Diceros bicornis minor: one gene and its partner. The protein of the gene in region 2 interacts with the protein of the main gene of each other region in a biochemical or structural test. Links are inferred from orthologs where the notes say so. Each region holds a gene or a part of one and is shown on either strand. Other genes may lie near its edges.

Region 1 (7,949 bases), on a different chromosome or scaffold from region 2:
ATAAAGAAACAGAGGCTTAATGAGGTTAAGTGATTCACTTAAAGTAAATAAATGGAACTTGGAAGACATGAAACATATACTTCCTCAGGGCTATACTTTACCCTAAGCAGATCTTATCTGAAAGTTTCTCTATTCTGAACCCTATTCCTCTTCTCTCCATCTGACCTTGTCTCTAAGGACAGAACTCTCAAAGCAAAGAGAAGGGAAGGAAAGACTAATTCCCTTCTGTTGCAGGAGAGTGGAGACTCTGACACAGAAGTCCCAGGCCGGGTTTTGTTGTTGTTGCTGTTGTTTGAGCAGATGCCTTACAGCTGTCAGCAGGAAGCCCAAACCGAATGTGCTGAGCTTTAAAAAAAAAAATGTCTGCAGCTTCAGAGGCAAGAGCTTCCAGAAGGAGGTAGTAAATATTTGATGGGACCTTCCAGCTCTTCCTGACTCAGGTGACCCTGGTGACATTCCAGAACACTGAGCTGGAGAATAGTCTTCATTTAATGACTGAGAAAGCAGGATGAAAAAAGCAGGTAGCTGGCATGCTCTGAGCTCGCAAAGGGCCATGCAGACAAATTCTGCAAGACTGGAAAGAAAGGGCTCTTTTTCCAGGAATGAAGTCAGATCACCAGTAAACTAAATAACCAGAAAGTGTGTGATTCTGGGCCAATGACCTTCCCTTCCAAACTGCCAGATTGTAAACTCGAAAATAGCCAGAACCCTGGCTATCTTGTTCACTGTTGTCTCCCTAGTCTCCAGCAAATGCTTGGGCAAAGTAGACGCTCAAAAAATGTTGGATAAATGGGTGAGTAAGTGCTACAGATTCAGCCACACAGTATTCCTTTTGCAGCCCAGACCCACTCTACAGACCACTCTTGCCCTCACGCTCTACACTTCCTCACTAATACACAAGCCCCTGCAGGGAACTTCTCCCTCAACACCTCACTGCACTAACTCGCACAGCCCTGCATCCAAATCTCTACTCTGGAGAACTGTTTCCAGCTAACTCAGCTAATGAGGGCTCCCCGCAGGAACAAAGCCACACACTGCTGCCCTCTCACACCACCACAGCAGCCTTGTGCAACCCGAATCCATGTGCAGCTGCCTTCATGTCTGACCTCCTCCAGCATCAGCCGCTGCCGAGTAGTATTTTGAAAAGGAATGTGCAGATCTGAAGCAAAACACACACGGCCTCCTTGGAATTCGGATCCAGCATGGCAGGATCAGAGCTTGAAACGGCTTCTTTACGCTACGTCCCAGCACAGAAACGCTCAGGCCACCCTCTCCCCCCACACACCACGCAAACACTCTGATCAGAGCTCCGCATTACACCCCTCCTCGGCTGCTGCAGAGCTGCCTCAACTCTGTGCCAACGAGTTTGACTTAATTAAGGACTCAGAACTAGAGGAAATTCTGGCTTGGCTCAGGAGTTCACAGGCTCCCCAGCAGCACACCTCCAAACTCTAAACCTGGATTAAAGGGCAGATGCCCAGCTGCCTGGGATCCTTGAGAGAAAGGCCTAGAGGAAACAAAAGGAGCCACGGGTGGCCCCTTAGTGACCTTTCTTACCCTAGAATGCACACCAATTCAGGCTAGGGTGTTATTCCACGTCCTACAACTTAACAATTGCCCAACTGCCATCCTAATGGCATCCCTGGAGTGACAATATCCTTAAAACACCCCAGAGTTCCAGTTTGAGCCATGGATCTGTACAGCCCCTCCATGCCTACCCAGACACTTCTTCTCTTTTCTCATATTTTTGAGCCTCCCTCTAGCTTTCTTAACTTTTCCCAGGTTTTAAGGGCCACCACAGGCAATGGCTAGGGTCCTTCATCCCCAAGCAAGGCTGTGTGCCCTAAGGTCGCCACTTTTGACCCCCACATGCCAAACTCCTTGCTGTCTTGGGTCGCTCACTGGCGGTCTTGGCCAGAGGCCAGAGGAGTGGGTTTGGCGCCACCTGCTCGGAGCGCCCCTCCTTGACCCGTGCAAATCTCCGGGCCGTTTGTGGCGGTCGCTTCCTTCCAGAGCTGGCCCATTCTGGCAGGTGGAGGGAGGCTATAGGGTGGCGACTGGCCCAGAAGAGGCCGGGAGCGTGGACAGCGCACAGGGTGCTGAATCAGGCACGGGGGAGGAGAAGCGCCGGCAAGGGCGCGGGCTGCGGGAGGACTAGGGGAGCGTGACCCCGGGGGCCGCGGGCAGCAGGCGGAGGGCTGTGAGCGCGCGGCCGCGGCAGGGTCCCGAGCGCCCTTCCCGGGAGCGCGGGCGGGAGGCGCGGCCCTTACCTGGCCGAAGGCGGAGCTGAGTATGGGGCGCAGCTGGTGGAGGAACGGGTCTGCCTCGGACGCGGCGGCTGGAGCGGAGTCCCCGCGACCCGGGGCTCGCGGCGAGCCCCGGAGGCCGAGCGCCGGGGACAGCCCCCGTTCCTCCCCATCCCGCCCGCGGGCCGGCGGCAGCGGCGACGGCGGCGAAGGTCGGGACGCCGCGGCCGGCAGCGCCTCCCGGGGCCTGCAGTGCGCCTGGGGGAGCCCGCGCCGGCTCCCTCGCGCGCCCTCCTCTCGCGGCGCCGGCCGGCACAGGGGCCTCCGCGAACTCGGGTCCCCGGACGGGGGCGGCGTGCCCGGGCAAGTGCCGGGCAGCCGGCGGCTGGGCAGCACTGGCTCCCGGGCAGGGCCGTGGCGGGGAACCCGGCTGCCCCCGCTTGCCGCCGCCGCCTTCAGCAGCGACGTCTTGGACTCGCTTTTGGCGATGTGCGAGCTCATCGCGGCGGGGCCCGCGCTCGCATGGCCCGGCGGGGGCGGCGCGGTGCGGCGCGGCGCGGGGCCCCCGGCGGGCAGAGAGCGGGGCGCCCGGCGGGAGCCAAGCCCGAGGACGCCCTGGAGGCGGGCGCCGTCCCCCGGCCGCTTAAATGTGGCCCCGTCTCCGCCGCCCATGTGACAGCGCAGCCTCTACGCCCGGAGCCCCGAGCTCCCCGGCGGCTGGCAGTGCGAATCTGGGGGGCCGCCGGCTGTCCCTGGAGAGCCCACCCCCGACTCCCCTGCGGCCCAGGTACCGCCGCGCCCCGCCCCTTGCCCCGCCCCGCGCTCGAGGAGCCCCGCTTCCGGGCGGCCTCTGGCGGCGGAGGGGGCGCTGCGGCGCGGAGCCGGGAGCGCAAGGGAAGGGGCTTGGCGAAGGGCCCCAAAGATGCCCAGACCTTGGCAGCGCCGGTAGTGCCCCTAACACGGCAGGAGGCTCCCATAGTGACCTGGAACCGCCGGACCACCAGAAATGCAGGCTGGGTGCACTCCCCAGGGAGTACAACTTTGGAAATGAGGACGAGAGAGGTGCAGTAAATTAGAGACCCAAGGAGAATGAAGGCACTCTATGACACCACTACGTGCAAACGTAGAGCCAGAATGGCGTGGAAGGACACTGCTGGAAGGAAAGGCTCCACTCTATAGGGCGCTTCATCCACTCCCAGAACCATGGAGTGGCACCAAGATGACCCTGGTAAATCAGCCACAGACCTTTCAGTTCTCAGAACAGAAGAGAAGCCAAGTGGCATCTATAATCTGGACTTTGCAGGGCCTGGTGATGATCAAGTCTCAGGTAGGACCCACTTGCTGCCCCTCAAGCTCTTGTCACCCGTCTCATCTTCATGCCCTTCTAGATGTTAGAGAAATTCCTGCTTTTGGTAGGCAGCCAGGGAGTCACACAGTTCTGGTTTGAATCTCAAATCCCAGCTCTGCCACTTCCCATCTAGGTAACTTGGGCAAGTGTCATCAACCTCTCTGACCCTTGTTTTCCTCTTCTGTAAAATGCAGATAATAATCATAACTAATTTCTTGGTACCATCAAACGACACCATGCACGTACAAGGCCTAGCTTACCTTGGAACAGGGCACACGTGCACTTAAGCTAGTTCCCTTCCCTCTGCACCTTCTGAGGCCCCCTCTGCCACTCTTGCTCAGTAAAGGGATAGTTGAGATTTGCAGGCGGGTGGCATGCGAACTTCCCATGCTCTCCTTGTTCTGGTCTCTGGCCCTGATGCCATCCATGCATGAGAACAGGGCAAGTCTGGTCACCGCTTAGCCTCGACAGAAGGATAGATGGACAGATTGCCAATATGATACACATCACTCATGCCAAGAGTTCACCCTTCTCTACACTGCTTCTTTTCCCTAGCCATATTCAAGGAATTAAGAAACACAGGCTGGGCGAGGAAAGCAACTGCCCAGAGGCCAAAGTGAACAAGGGAAGTGTGGCAAATTGTGCCCCAACTCACCTATTTTAAGGGACTGAATTGCCATATCAAAGCCACTCAAGCACAAATCCTGAGGCAGGCGGGTGTGCAGCAGCCCTGGAGCCTCACTGCAATGTCCATTCAGACATAAAGGGGGTAAAGGGTCCACCCTCCCAGAATTTAGGGTCAATCAGTCTTACCTGTTCCCGCCCTCAGAATAATCAGTGTTCAGCTGGATTAACCACAATGTACGTTCTGCATAAATCACAGGAGACAAATACCTTGTCAGAATCCCTCAGGAGCTGATAAGAGGCAGTGGGCTGAAGGGTATTCTAAATCCCCGTGCCCCTCTTAGTTATCTTTCTGAAATTCCCTAAATAGTCTTGGGCAAGGCCTCTGTCAACTGTTTCTGAAAAAGGGAAGAATCTGGTTACATCATCTATGGTATTAGAGTAAATAAAAGAAATCAAGATTATGTTCATGAAGCCCATCGATGAAACACTTGTGCTCAGATCCTGGATAATCCTGGATATATGCCAAGATGCCATTTCATTTGTAAAATTCATGAATTTGGTCCTTCACTTCACAGATTTTTCTAGAACCAAGCACTGTGTTAGGCACCTGGGATACAAAGATTCATCCATTCATCCACTTGAGTGCCTGTTATCTGGCAGGCACTGTTCTGAACCAGGGACATGGTGGTAAACAAAACAAAGTCTCTTTCTTCAGCCACAAATGAACAACTATATAAATGCATGGAAAATCAATAGTGACACATTGGTGGCGTTTAGTGCTGGGAAGAGAAAGAAAGCAGGTAAGAGGGGAGGGCTTAATGGGGGGGTGCTGTTTGAGACAGGGATTAGGGAAGTCCTCCCTGAGGAGGGGACTTTTGAGCAGAGACCACACTGAAGTAAGGGAGCAAGCCACGCATATATCTGGGGGAAGAGCTTTCCTGGCAGAGGGGAGACAGTTCAGAAGTCCTGAGGAGGGAACAGCCGGCATATTCAAGCAGAAGCAAAGAGACAAGTTGGGCTGGAGTGAGCAGAGGGAGGGTGGTCCAGATGAAATTGGAGAGGAAGGCGGGGGCCAGAGTCAAGGGCACTGGATTTTTCCTAAATGTGAAGAGAAACCACTAGCGGGTTTGTGGTAGAGGAGTGGCATATGGCTGTTTACATTGTGAAGGGATCATTGGCTGCTTTGCAGCAGGTCCACTGCTGGATGGCAGTGTGGCAACATGGAGCCAGTCAGGTGCTGTTGCATGGAACGAGTGAGAGAGGATGGTGGCTTGGACTAGTGTTAGTGGGGGAGGTGGTAAGAAGTGGTCAGATTCGGGAGATGATTAAAGAATTAGGATAAGATTCAGTCCCTGCTCTCAAAGAATTTAAAGAAAAAAAAAAGAGGATACAAGTCACTGTAATATAATGGAAAACAGGCAATAAGGGAATGACTAGGTAGGTTATATGGGAGCACCAAAGCAGAACCTTTAGGGGAGCTGGAGAAGGTGCTAGAGAAGGTGCCATTTGGGCTGCACTTTGAAGGAGAAGTGAGATTCCACCAGATGAATAAGGAAAGTAAAAGGAAGGTCATTCCAGGCAGAGGGGAGAGGGGACAGCTTAAGTGAAGTCTTGGGTCCCTGAACCAGCACAGCAAGTTTGGGAATCATTTAGTGGTTTGGGGGGGTGCGGGGGGAGATAAAGGCTGGAAAGACAGGCCTGGAAAGGTTGTTGGAACTAGACTGTGAAGGATCTTGAATGTGACGTTCAGGAGTTTGTCCTTTATTCTACAGACCGTAGAGAGTCCTTGAAGGTTGTATGAGTTTGTACAGGACATAAGCAGAACTGTGTTTTTGAAGATAATGCTGATGCATTGTGGAGTAGATTAGGACGACACTGAAGGCAAGAGCAATTAGGAAATTAGGTTCATTCATTTAACAAAAACGCTTGGGTGCCTACCATGTGCTAGGCATTGGGAATAGAGCAGGAAATAAGTGAACATCGTGCCTTTCTTTATGAGTTTTAAGTCTGGTGGGGAGGTAATAAGGACTACACACAGAGGCTGGATCAGATTCAGGAAATAGTTTGGAAACACCACCATTAAGACATGGAAAGTTCTGGATGTGGAAAAAGAGAATGGCTTGCCTCTCTGATTGTGAGATATAACGGGAATATGGTTACTGCACAGTATCCTGCCACGTAGAAATAATTTTTAAATAGTCCTTTTGGATTATATATACCTTTATAGCTTTAAAAGCATTTTCACATAAAGCCTCTCACTTGCCTTTATGTGTTGTACAAATTGTAATTATTCAATAATTACATGTTGTTATATTATTTGACTGTATAACCCGTGGTGAAAGTTATGCAAAAGAAGAGCTGTTTTGGAGTGCTGGAAAGACACCCTGGCACACGAGGGCAGTTAAAGAGAGATGATGGGTCTGGGACCATGACATCAGTCTAGAGAGAACAGTGTGTTTAGCTGTCTTGATGTCTCATTTCTAAGAGAATCCATTCGGAAGGAGCAAGGCAAGGTTCAGGGAAAAATTCTTAAAATGTACCCAGGTCTCTCATTTAACGTATCAGTTTGATAATGTCATGTCCCTGCAGCAAACTCCTTTAAAAACTGTTCTTTCCTGACCAGGACTGTATGTCATGTTTAGAGTCTTGAAAAAGGTTGTGGAGCATTTGCACAGTGGTGCTTGAATTAATTCTCCGACGTTTCTTATCTGCCCTGTTCCTTTCTGCTGTTGTCAGAATCAAATTCCGCACTTAATCTCTCCCTTGTTTTCAGATGACAAAATCTCTCTGTTAGGCTCCAGAAAGCTGGGATTACAAAATGTTCTTATGGCTTTAAGTCCTCTGTGGTGATTGGGGAACTCAGGAAAGGACTGGATGAGAATTTTTTTCAAGGGGAGAGGGCAGTCAGTGGACTGAATAGGGGATTCCTTTCCAGAAATCTGCTTTTGGACCCAAATGTTCATCACTTAAGAGGATTCCAAGATTTTTAAAATAAAATGAAAACGAATGTGGGTTATAAGAATATATGCCTTGGGGGCCAGCCCCGTGGTGTAGTGGTTAAGTGCGCACACTCCACTGCTGGCGGCCCGGGGTTCAGATCCCGGGCGCGCACCGATGCACAGCTTGTCAAGCCATGCTGTGGCGGTGTCCCATATAAAGTGGAGGAAGATGGGCACAGATGTTAGCCTAGGGCCAGTCTTCCTTAGCAAAAAGAGGAGGATTGGCGTGGATGTTAGCTCAGGGCTGATCTTCCTCACACACACAAAAAAGAATATATGCATGTACATGAACTGTACACTTAAGACTGTACATCTCACTGTGTATAAATTATAACTCAATAAAAAGGAAAATCAAACAAGCAGGAGAGAGAGAGCAAAAATGATTAATACCGACAAATAGAAACAACTACTGGACTGTCTTAGGGACATAATTATGATTTTCAATATAGTGACCACTGGGGGCTGGCCCTGTGGCTTAGCGGTTAACTGTGCACGCTCCACTGCTGGCGGCCCGGGGTTCAGATCCTGGGCGCGCACCGACGCACCATTTCTCCGGCCATGCTGAGGCCGTGTCCCACATACAGCAACTAGAAGGATGTGCAACTATGATGTACAACTATGTACTGGGGCTTTCGGGGAAAAAAACAAATAAAATCAATATAGTGACAACTGAACTCAGTTGGTAAGAGGCTCTGACAGTGAGGCCAAGGTTGTCACGAGCTGATTCCT
Region 2 (7,574 bases):
GGATGATACCATTGTCAACCTCAAACAACTTTCACGGGTCTCAAAGTGGAGGCCAGTAGTAATTCATTTACAGCATGAAGAACTTTCCCTGTCCGATAAGAAGGAAATTTTGATAGGATAGTCTGTTTTGATTTGAATTATTCAAAGAACAGATTGTACTTTCAACTCACACACACGAAAGAAAGAAATGAAAAAGAAAAGCGTTCTGCACAAGTGGCCACAAAGCAAACTGAAGGATATATGAAAAGATAACATTTCACAGTTCAGACTCACTGTAATTTAAACTTTCGAATTATTCAGATGGAGAAACGCCTCATTCTTTCAACCTGCTCAGATGCCTTGATGTAGATGATCAAGATGGATTTCAGGTATGAGATGAATCTAATGCTGAACTTAATGTTCCTTGTGGTTTGGTTTGGTTTCTTTTACTCTCCTCATTCAGACTTTCAGCATACAGCTTTCCAAAACAAACTCAGTACAACACCTAACACCTCCTCAAACATCCACACTCTTTCATCCCTATGTCAGAGCAAAATTATTTCCTTCTTACATCAAGATAAGTATTGTTCATGCATCATTGGTGGGACATAAGCAAGAGTTATTTCATCAACAGCAATAAGTTTACCATTTTTCCTAGCTTCTCCCTCACCATTTCCCACCCCCCAACTTAGATGCATCTGTGGGACACAGGACAGGAGAGCCCCACAGCCTGGGGTTATACCTTGCTTCCACTGTGTACTAGCTACTGGGTAAGAGATTTCACTCTTTGCACCTCAGTTTCTTCACCTGTACCTGACTCACAGGGTTTCCATGATATATGGCTCTAGATCTGACTTACAAGTCCTTAATGTGTCAGTATTATTATTTTTAGCAACCAGTTGGAGAAGAGTCTGTGGAACAGTCTCTCCTTGGCTACAGCTTACTGAGAGGAGGGGAACTGAACCCAATCCTTGGCCTTTTGAGTGCCCATGGAGCCATGGGAGTCAATAGAACTCCAAGAAGGAACCAGACCTCATACATTCAAATGCTTCCCACTCCACCAGCACTCCTGAGGATCTTATCAACAGGAAACAAAAGGACTATACTACTATAATGAAGTGTCTGACTCTCATTTTTTAATTAGAAAAGCCCAAACATTGTAGCCCAGGGAACAGCTAAATATTTAGAATGTTTAAGAAGTTACCAAGGCCCAGTCCCTCACCCGTTACCCTGTTGTTTACCCTGTTCCTAACCATTTCGGAAGAAAAAACTTTTGATGACCAAATCTGCAGCAATGGGGATGTACGAGCACCCGTTAAAACCTCCCTTTCTTGCAGTGCAGTCTGACCATTTTGGGGAAAAAAATAGGAGCTGCTTGTGTTCACAGAAAATGCTGCCCTCAGGTCATATCCCACTACAGGTACCTAAACAACAGGGACCTATCAGATTCCTTGACATCCAAGTGGCTTCAAGTCAAGGGCTGGATGCTACTAACTTATGCTTGAAGAACTGACTTCCCTTTCTAAAGTTCTAATTCTTTCAATTAACCAGCAATCACTTTCATTTCTTGCAATCCAACCTACTCTGATTAAACACACATTGACAGTAAGAAAAAAGAAAGTGACTATTTTTGAAAGAGAGAGGCAGTTAATTTTTGCTTACATATCTTGGCAGATGAAATGCACTGCATCCTTCAGAATTTAAATCATCAACATGCTGCCTGGCAAGTTCAATTCTCAGGCCACCAATGGGCATCCTTTTTATTTAATGGCTTTTTTCCCCTCCTCTCATAAATCTTCACTCTGCTTCAATTCCGAGCCATGGCCAAAAGTGCAAGGTAGGACTGCCCCTTGGATCTCCTCTGCTCCCAAAAGCCCTCACCAAAGGCAGTGACAAATTTTGGAGACTGAACCATTGAGTTTCCTTTTCCTTCCTACTCCCCATCTCCATGGCTCTTTAGAGAGCACTTAAAGTAGGCTTAGGACAAAAACTCATTATTGACTACAGCACTCAGGCTTCCACACTCACCTGACCCAGGTCAGGCACTCTGCTGCCAAAACACGCCAAGCCAGGGGTGCGAATCCTGCTCCTCTGTAATCAGCTCCTAAGTATTTAGAAAGAAAGACTATGAGACCGCGAAGGTTCCCTAATAGAAATGCTCCAAATTCCATGCTTCCACCTTCTTTAGCCTCCTTCCTGGAGAAGCCTTCCCCCTAAATTTGACAGGCAGGTGGGTCGGATCACTTGGGCAAAGATTACAGGTAACTTCGCTTCCTTATTTCCAGCATGTAACTGACAAGTGAGACGAGGCACGCACAAACTTCGAACGTGCCGGGGAGCTGGAACTAAGGGAAGTCTTTGGCAGATCCCAAAGCACTTATTTCCCGGAGCGGAGGCCAAGTATCCGAAGCCCGCATCCTCACTGGGCGTGAGCTTCGTCCACACTTCATCCCTCACCGCTCCCCGGGTTTTCTTCCGTTTTTTTAAAACCGTCCCCACTGGGGCCCCCACACATGCATTATTTTCCCAACCATGCAGCTCGAGGGAGGGCTACATTTTAAGAAAGACTGTTTCCTTGAACGGACTCACATATGACACCCCCACAATCTCCCCCCCCAAAAAAAAACTATTTCCTGCAGTTGCTGCAAGTTTCCAACTTGAGGGAATGCCATTCCAGTCTAGAATGGGTAGCCCTCAAAGCCAATCACTGGAGTCGAGAATTTTTTTACCTGAAATGAACCCCCCCCAAATGCCCACAGTAAAAGAACCCCCAAATGCATGCAAGTGCATGCAAATCCACCAAGAACTCCCAGAGAGTGGGGCAAAAACTTCTGCGCCCGGGGGTGCAGTACCAACTCCCCGCGCCCTCTGCCCAGCCCCAGCCGCTACCTTGGTGCCCGGGGAGCCACGCCGGTTTGGGGGAGCAGGGCGAGGAGAGGGGTTAGCAGCCGCTCGGTAATCCCATGTCGGCGAAGAGGGAGCTCGTTCCGTTAGGATGGAAGCGGAACACCCACACCTCCTCTCGGCGTGCGCTTTCTCTCTCTCCACCCTCTGCCTCTCCCTCCTCCTCCTCCTCCTCCACCACCACCTCCTCCTCCTTTCCTCCCACCCCAGCAAGACTGAGGAAACGCTTCAGCAGCACATCCACATGCTTACTGCACTTTGAAGCCGCTCCTCGCTGCTTATATAGGCCGGGAAGCTCCCTGGGCAATGTAGTCCAAGTCTGAGGTCGTGGCGGCGCCTGGGGCTGCAGGGGAGGACTACAAGTCCCAGAATCCCCTGGGCTCCCGGGCTGGGCTCTAAATAGACGGCTCGCGGGGATGAAGGAGGGGCGTCGCGCGGGGCGTCTGGGCTTCAAACCCGCGTCTTCAGGGGTAGCTGGCCTGGCTTGGAGCCCGTGATCGAAAGCCACCCCTGGGGGGCGCCCCCAGCCTCTGGGGACGCTCCTCCTCTGGCTGCCCCTTTTCCTTTGAATCCAGGTATCACTGGGAGCGAGGGGCAGGGAGGAGCTCGGATTTGTGCTTTGGGAAGTTTTTACAAGCTGTACCCACCCTCCCCCCGCCTTGAGTCCCGGAGCCAAGAATTTCAGAAATCCAGGGCACAAAAACGCCAGTGTTTGCGGTCAAGGATTAAAGGCGCGAGGTTGTCTTTATTTAATCTGCTCTGCCTTGCTCTGGTTTGCACAGAAAACTAAGTGTGGGAGCGACGGTCCACGCAAGCGGGGACACAGGCAAGTGGCTTGAGAACACTTTTCTGTATCCGAACTCCGTGCGTCCTTCTTCGCCCCGCAGGAGGTAAAGAAACGCAAGCCTCTCCGGTGCACAGATAAAGGAGCCGTGTTGTTACTTGCCAGCGCTGAGATTGGGAGACAGAAAATAAATAGAGACCGCGACCTCGGTCCTGACCCTGCTTCAAGCAGCCCCTCTGCTCCCGGGAGCTGTAAATGCTTAAGTAAATAAACCGCAAACCAGAAAAACAAGGGCTTCGGAGAGAGCCGCTTACACAAAGATGCGTGTCCAAACGGGGGGGCCCTCCAGCAGCTCCGACAGGAGCTTCAGGGACTGAAGGTGGGTTCAGCTCACTGCTAACTAGTGCCTGGGCTCTCGGGCTACAAGCTGCTTCAGGCTCTTGTTTTTGGAAGGAGAGCGAGAGCTAAGCTCCGAGGCCAAGTCAGCCGGCTGCCCTCCCTGCCTCAGATGATGTGCATTCATTCCACAAACGTTTCCTAAGTGTCTACTGGATGCCAAGCACTATGCCAGGCTCTGGGCCACAGTGGTGAGCCAAAACCCAGCACAGCATGTCAGGCAGGCACTGCCTGACTCTGCGTAGGATCTGCTATAACAACAATAGTAATAACGGTAACTGGGGAGGCTGATTTTATTAAGCCCAGACCACATACATTTTTCATGCTATTGAGTTTTAACCACCCTAGGCATATTTATTATCCTTGTTTGACAGGTGAACAGCTGAGGGCTCAGAGCAATCGGGTAACTTCTGGAGATGACACCGTGAATTAAGTGGTGCAGCCTGGATTCTAATTCCAGCCTATGAGTGTTCTAAACCCTTGTCTTTGGGGAAACCCATTGCCACTGCCTTAAATGGCCTCCCTCCCCATTTTAGGAGTGGCCTCTGAGCCCTTGGGCAAGTCATTTTCATCTCGTTGCCCCAGTTTTGCCATTGTAGAGGGAGACAATCAGGAGCATTTGTCTCCTGTCATCCTACTTGCTATCAGGATTGCCTGTGAAACTTCAGGAGCAAATGAGGGGCGCACCACAGCTAATAATTATTACTGATGTAATAATTAGTGCCAAAACTAATAATAATTATGTTTATGGGGTACACACCACGTGCCAGCCGTTATCCTAAGCTCTTAATGTACATTATCTCATCAAATCCTATAACGAACCATTTTTTTACTTATGAGAAAACTGAGGCACAGAGAGGTTAAGTAACTTCCCATAGTCGCACAGGATGCTGGGCTGCCTGACTCCCGAACTCTGGACCTTAACTACTACCCTCCCTTCCGCTGCTTCCCCAGTGTCAATGTATGCATTGTATTTATTTGCTCATATAAGCATTTAATACCAGTCCAGGAATGAGCAAAGCTGTGAAGTAGACAAAGTTTGTGTTCATTCTGTTCACTCTTGCCCCTCTTCTCTTCAGCATTATCCCCTAGTCACAGGGCACTAGAGCCTTCTACCTAATGCCTCAAGCTACCACTCCCCATCATCAAGAAATTTCCCCATCCTGTCACAACAAAGGAGTCCACACCTTTCCCAGCTGTCCCCTCTCTTCTTTTCCCTCATGAAAACAATCTGTTCCACTTCTAAAGGGTTTTTGGCTCTACTTTTCAAACAAATTCAACAACTAAGTCTATGCCAATATAACTGGTAAATACTAAAGGGTAATTATTTCACTTGCTCCTAATTCAGAAAAACAATGGAATTTTAACGTGTGTTTTCTGAAGAAAACTTGGTCCTGTTTGAGAGCTGGAGTTTGGTGATTTTCGTCTTCACCATGCAGTGGACACTTGACCCTTAACTGTTTTAGCCACTGTCTTCCCTCCCAGACCACAAGTTTCATTGAAGGCAGGAACTATGTTTTATTCATGCTTGTAGTTCCTACCTGCCCCAGCCCAGCAGGCCCTAGACTTCTGTGTGCACATTTTAATAGATACATAAAAAAAAATTTGTTAGAAAAAAGTGTTTTAATAGAAGGTGTGTCAGGCATATGGCAGGCTAGATGAACATATTTTTTGAGCACACAAGCCTTATAACCCAATCGCATAATAGACTGTTTCTTCCACGTATGTGTGTTAATGGTCCTATTCAACATTTTGCAACTGGCACCACGTTCTGGAAGCTACTGGGTCACTAGAAAGTAGTTTTGCTAAATTTGCTATGAGGCTAAGAGGTTCTCTATGATGATGTATGATTGATGATTGATGATGAAGTATATCATAATAAAAGGGCCACTACTGGGGCCGGCCCAGTGGTGCAGCGGTTAAGTTTGTGTGCTCCACTACGACGGCCCAGAGTTTGCAGGTTCAAATCCAGGGTGTGGACCCACACACCACTTATCAAGCCATGCTGTGGCGGTGTCCCATATAAAGTAGAGGAAGCTGGGCACGGATGTTAGCCCAGGGCCAATCTTCCTCAGCCAAAAGAGGAGATTGGCAACAGATGTTAGCTCAGGGCTAATCTTCCTCACACACAAAAAAGAAAAGCCACTACCCAACTCATTCTCCATTATCAATAGAGGGAAGGGGGCTTCTTTTTCTTCACTGTATTTCTTTTCCTGGAAGAATTTTCTAGACCTGTGCTTTCCAATACAGTAGCCACTAGCCATTTAGGCACTTAAGATGTAGCTAGCTCTAACTAGGATGTGAAGCAGGTATAAAATACATTTTGAATTTCAAAGACTTAGTACAAAAAAAATCAAAATATCTCATGAATAATTTTTATATTGATCACATGTTGAAATGATAATATTTTGGATATATTGAATTAAAATATATTATTAAATTAATTTCATTTGCTTCTTTTTACTCATTTAATGTACTACTACGATATTAAAAATTACATGTGTGGCTCATATTACATGCTGTTGGACAGCACTAGTCTAGAAAACCAAGAATCTGATTCTCGAGATCCAATTCAAGATGACAACTAGCCCTGAAAATTGCCATTTATGACTTTGCCCTTGAAATGCCTATGCAGGGAATTAGGAGGGCTTTGCAGAGTCAGGATAGTATCATAGACTAAGCAGAATTCTGAAGAACGTCCAAAACTAGCACACCAGCCTACCCCCCAGGGAAACCCTACAAATAGAAACAGGTTTTCATCAGCAGTATACAGCTGAAAACTGCAACTGAATTAATCTGCCTAGAATCCCACCCTCAAATGCTGTCCTGATTAAGACAGCAAGATATGCTGGAGAAAGCAGGGATCAGAAAATGTGGGTTTGACACCCAGCTGCAACCTTAATATCTATGTAACCGTGGCCGGTCATCTAACCTTACAGAGGCTGTTTTTTGATAGAGCAAAGCGAATAATCCTTGCCCTGCCAACCTGACCAGATCAAATGAGTCATTGGACATGAAACGACTTTGCAAGCTTACCCTAGTTATACCAAAGTGAGAGAACATCACCAACAAGCATGGAGAAAACGTTGATATGTCATGGTCTAGTACTCAGCTCCAGACCAAACTTCAGATTATTGGGGCAGCGCTAGTCCCAATTTTCTCCTGGGTAAAAGATTTTAATTACCTATGAATGTCACAATGAGCCTTGACTACTTTAATTGACAGCTTCTCCAAATCACTCTTAAGTGGCAAGACAGAATGACCAACACTGAAGTCAGAGAATTCAATCTATTTTTTGGTGTGATGTGTTTCCTATATATGCCCTGGAACATGAGAACTATCAGTAAAGAGAAATAGCTACTGTGTAGCCAGTTTCCAACTAGTCGCTCTTGGTCATTGTGAACTTTTTGTGGTGGAGGGAGGGAATCATAGCCCACTGAGAATCTTATAAAACCTATGGACATTTGCCCCAGCACAACACAGATACTCACAATTTTAGCACCAGTTCTTG

The links.
Region 1: the proteins of ITPR1 (region 2) and CABP1 form a complex in vitro, tested with the Homo sapiens proteins (2 studies listed by BioGRID). The link is inferred for Diceros bicornis minor from reciprocal best matches to the Homo sapiens genes ITPR1 and CABP1.

Annotation. Positions count from the first base shown.
Region 1 is NC_080774.1:17,077,206-17,085,154, reverse strand, and holds the start of CABP1 (calcium-binding protein 1), read right to left. Parts: upstream 3,007-7,949; 5' UTR 2,919-3,006; coding exon 2,271-2,918; intron 1-2,270. UniProt on the Homo sapiens protein: Modulates calcium-dependent activity of inositol 1,4,5-triphosphate receptors (ITPRs). Inhibits agonist-induced intracellular calcium signaling.
Region 2 is NC_080741.1:75,258,233-75,265,806, forward strand, and holds the start of ITPR1 (inositol 1,4,5-trisphosphate receptor type 1), read right to left. Parts: upstream 3,010-7,574; 5' UTR 2,869-3,009; intron 2,084-2,868; 5' UTR 2,008-2,083; intron 1-2,007. UniProt on the Homo sapiens protein: Inositol 1,4,5-trisphosphate-gated calcium channel that, upon inositol 1,4,5-trisphosphate binding, mediates calcium release from the endoplasmic reticulum (ER).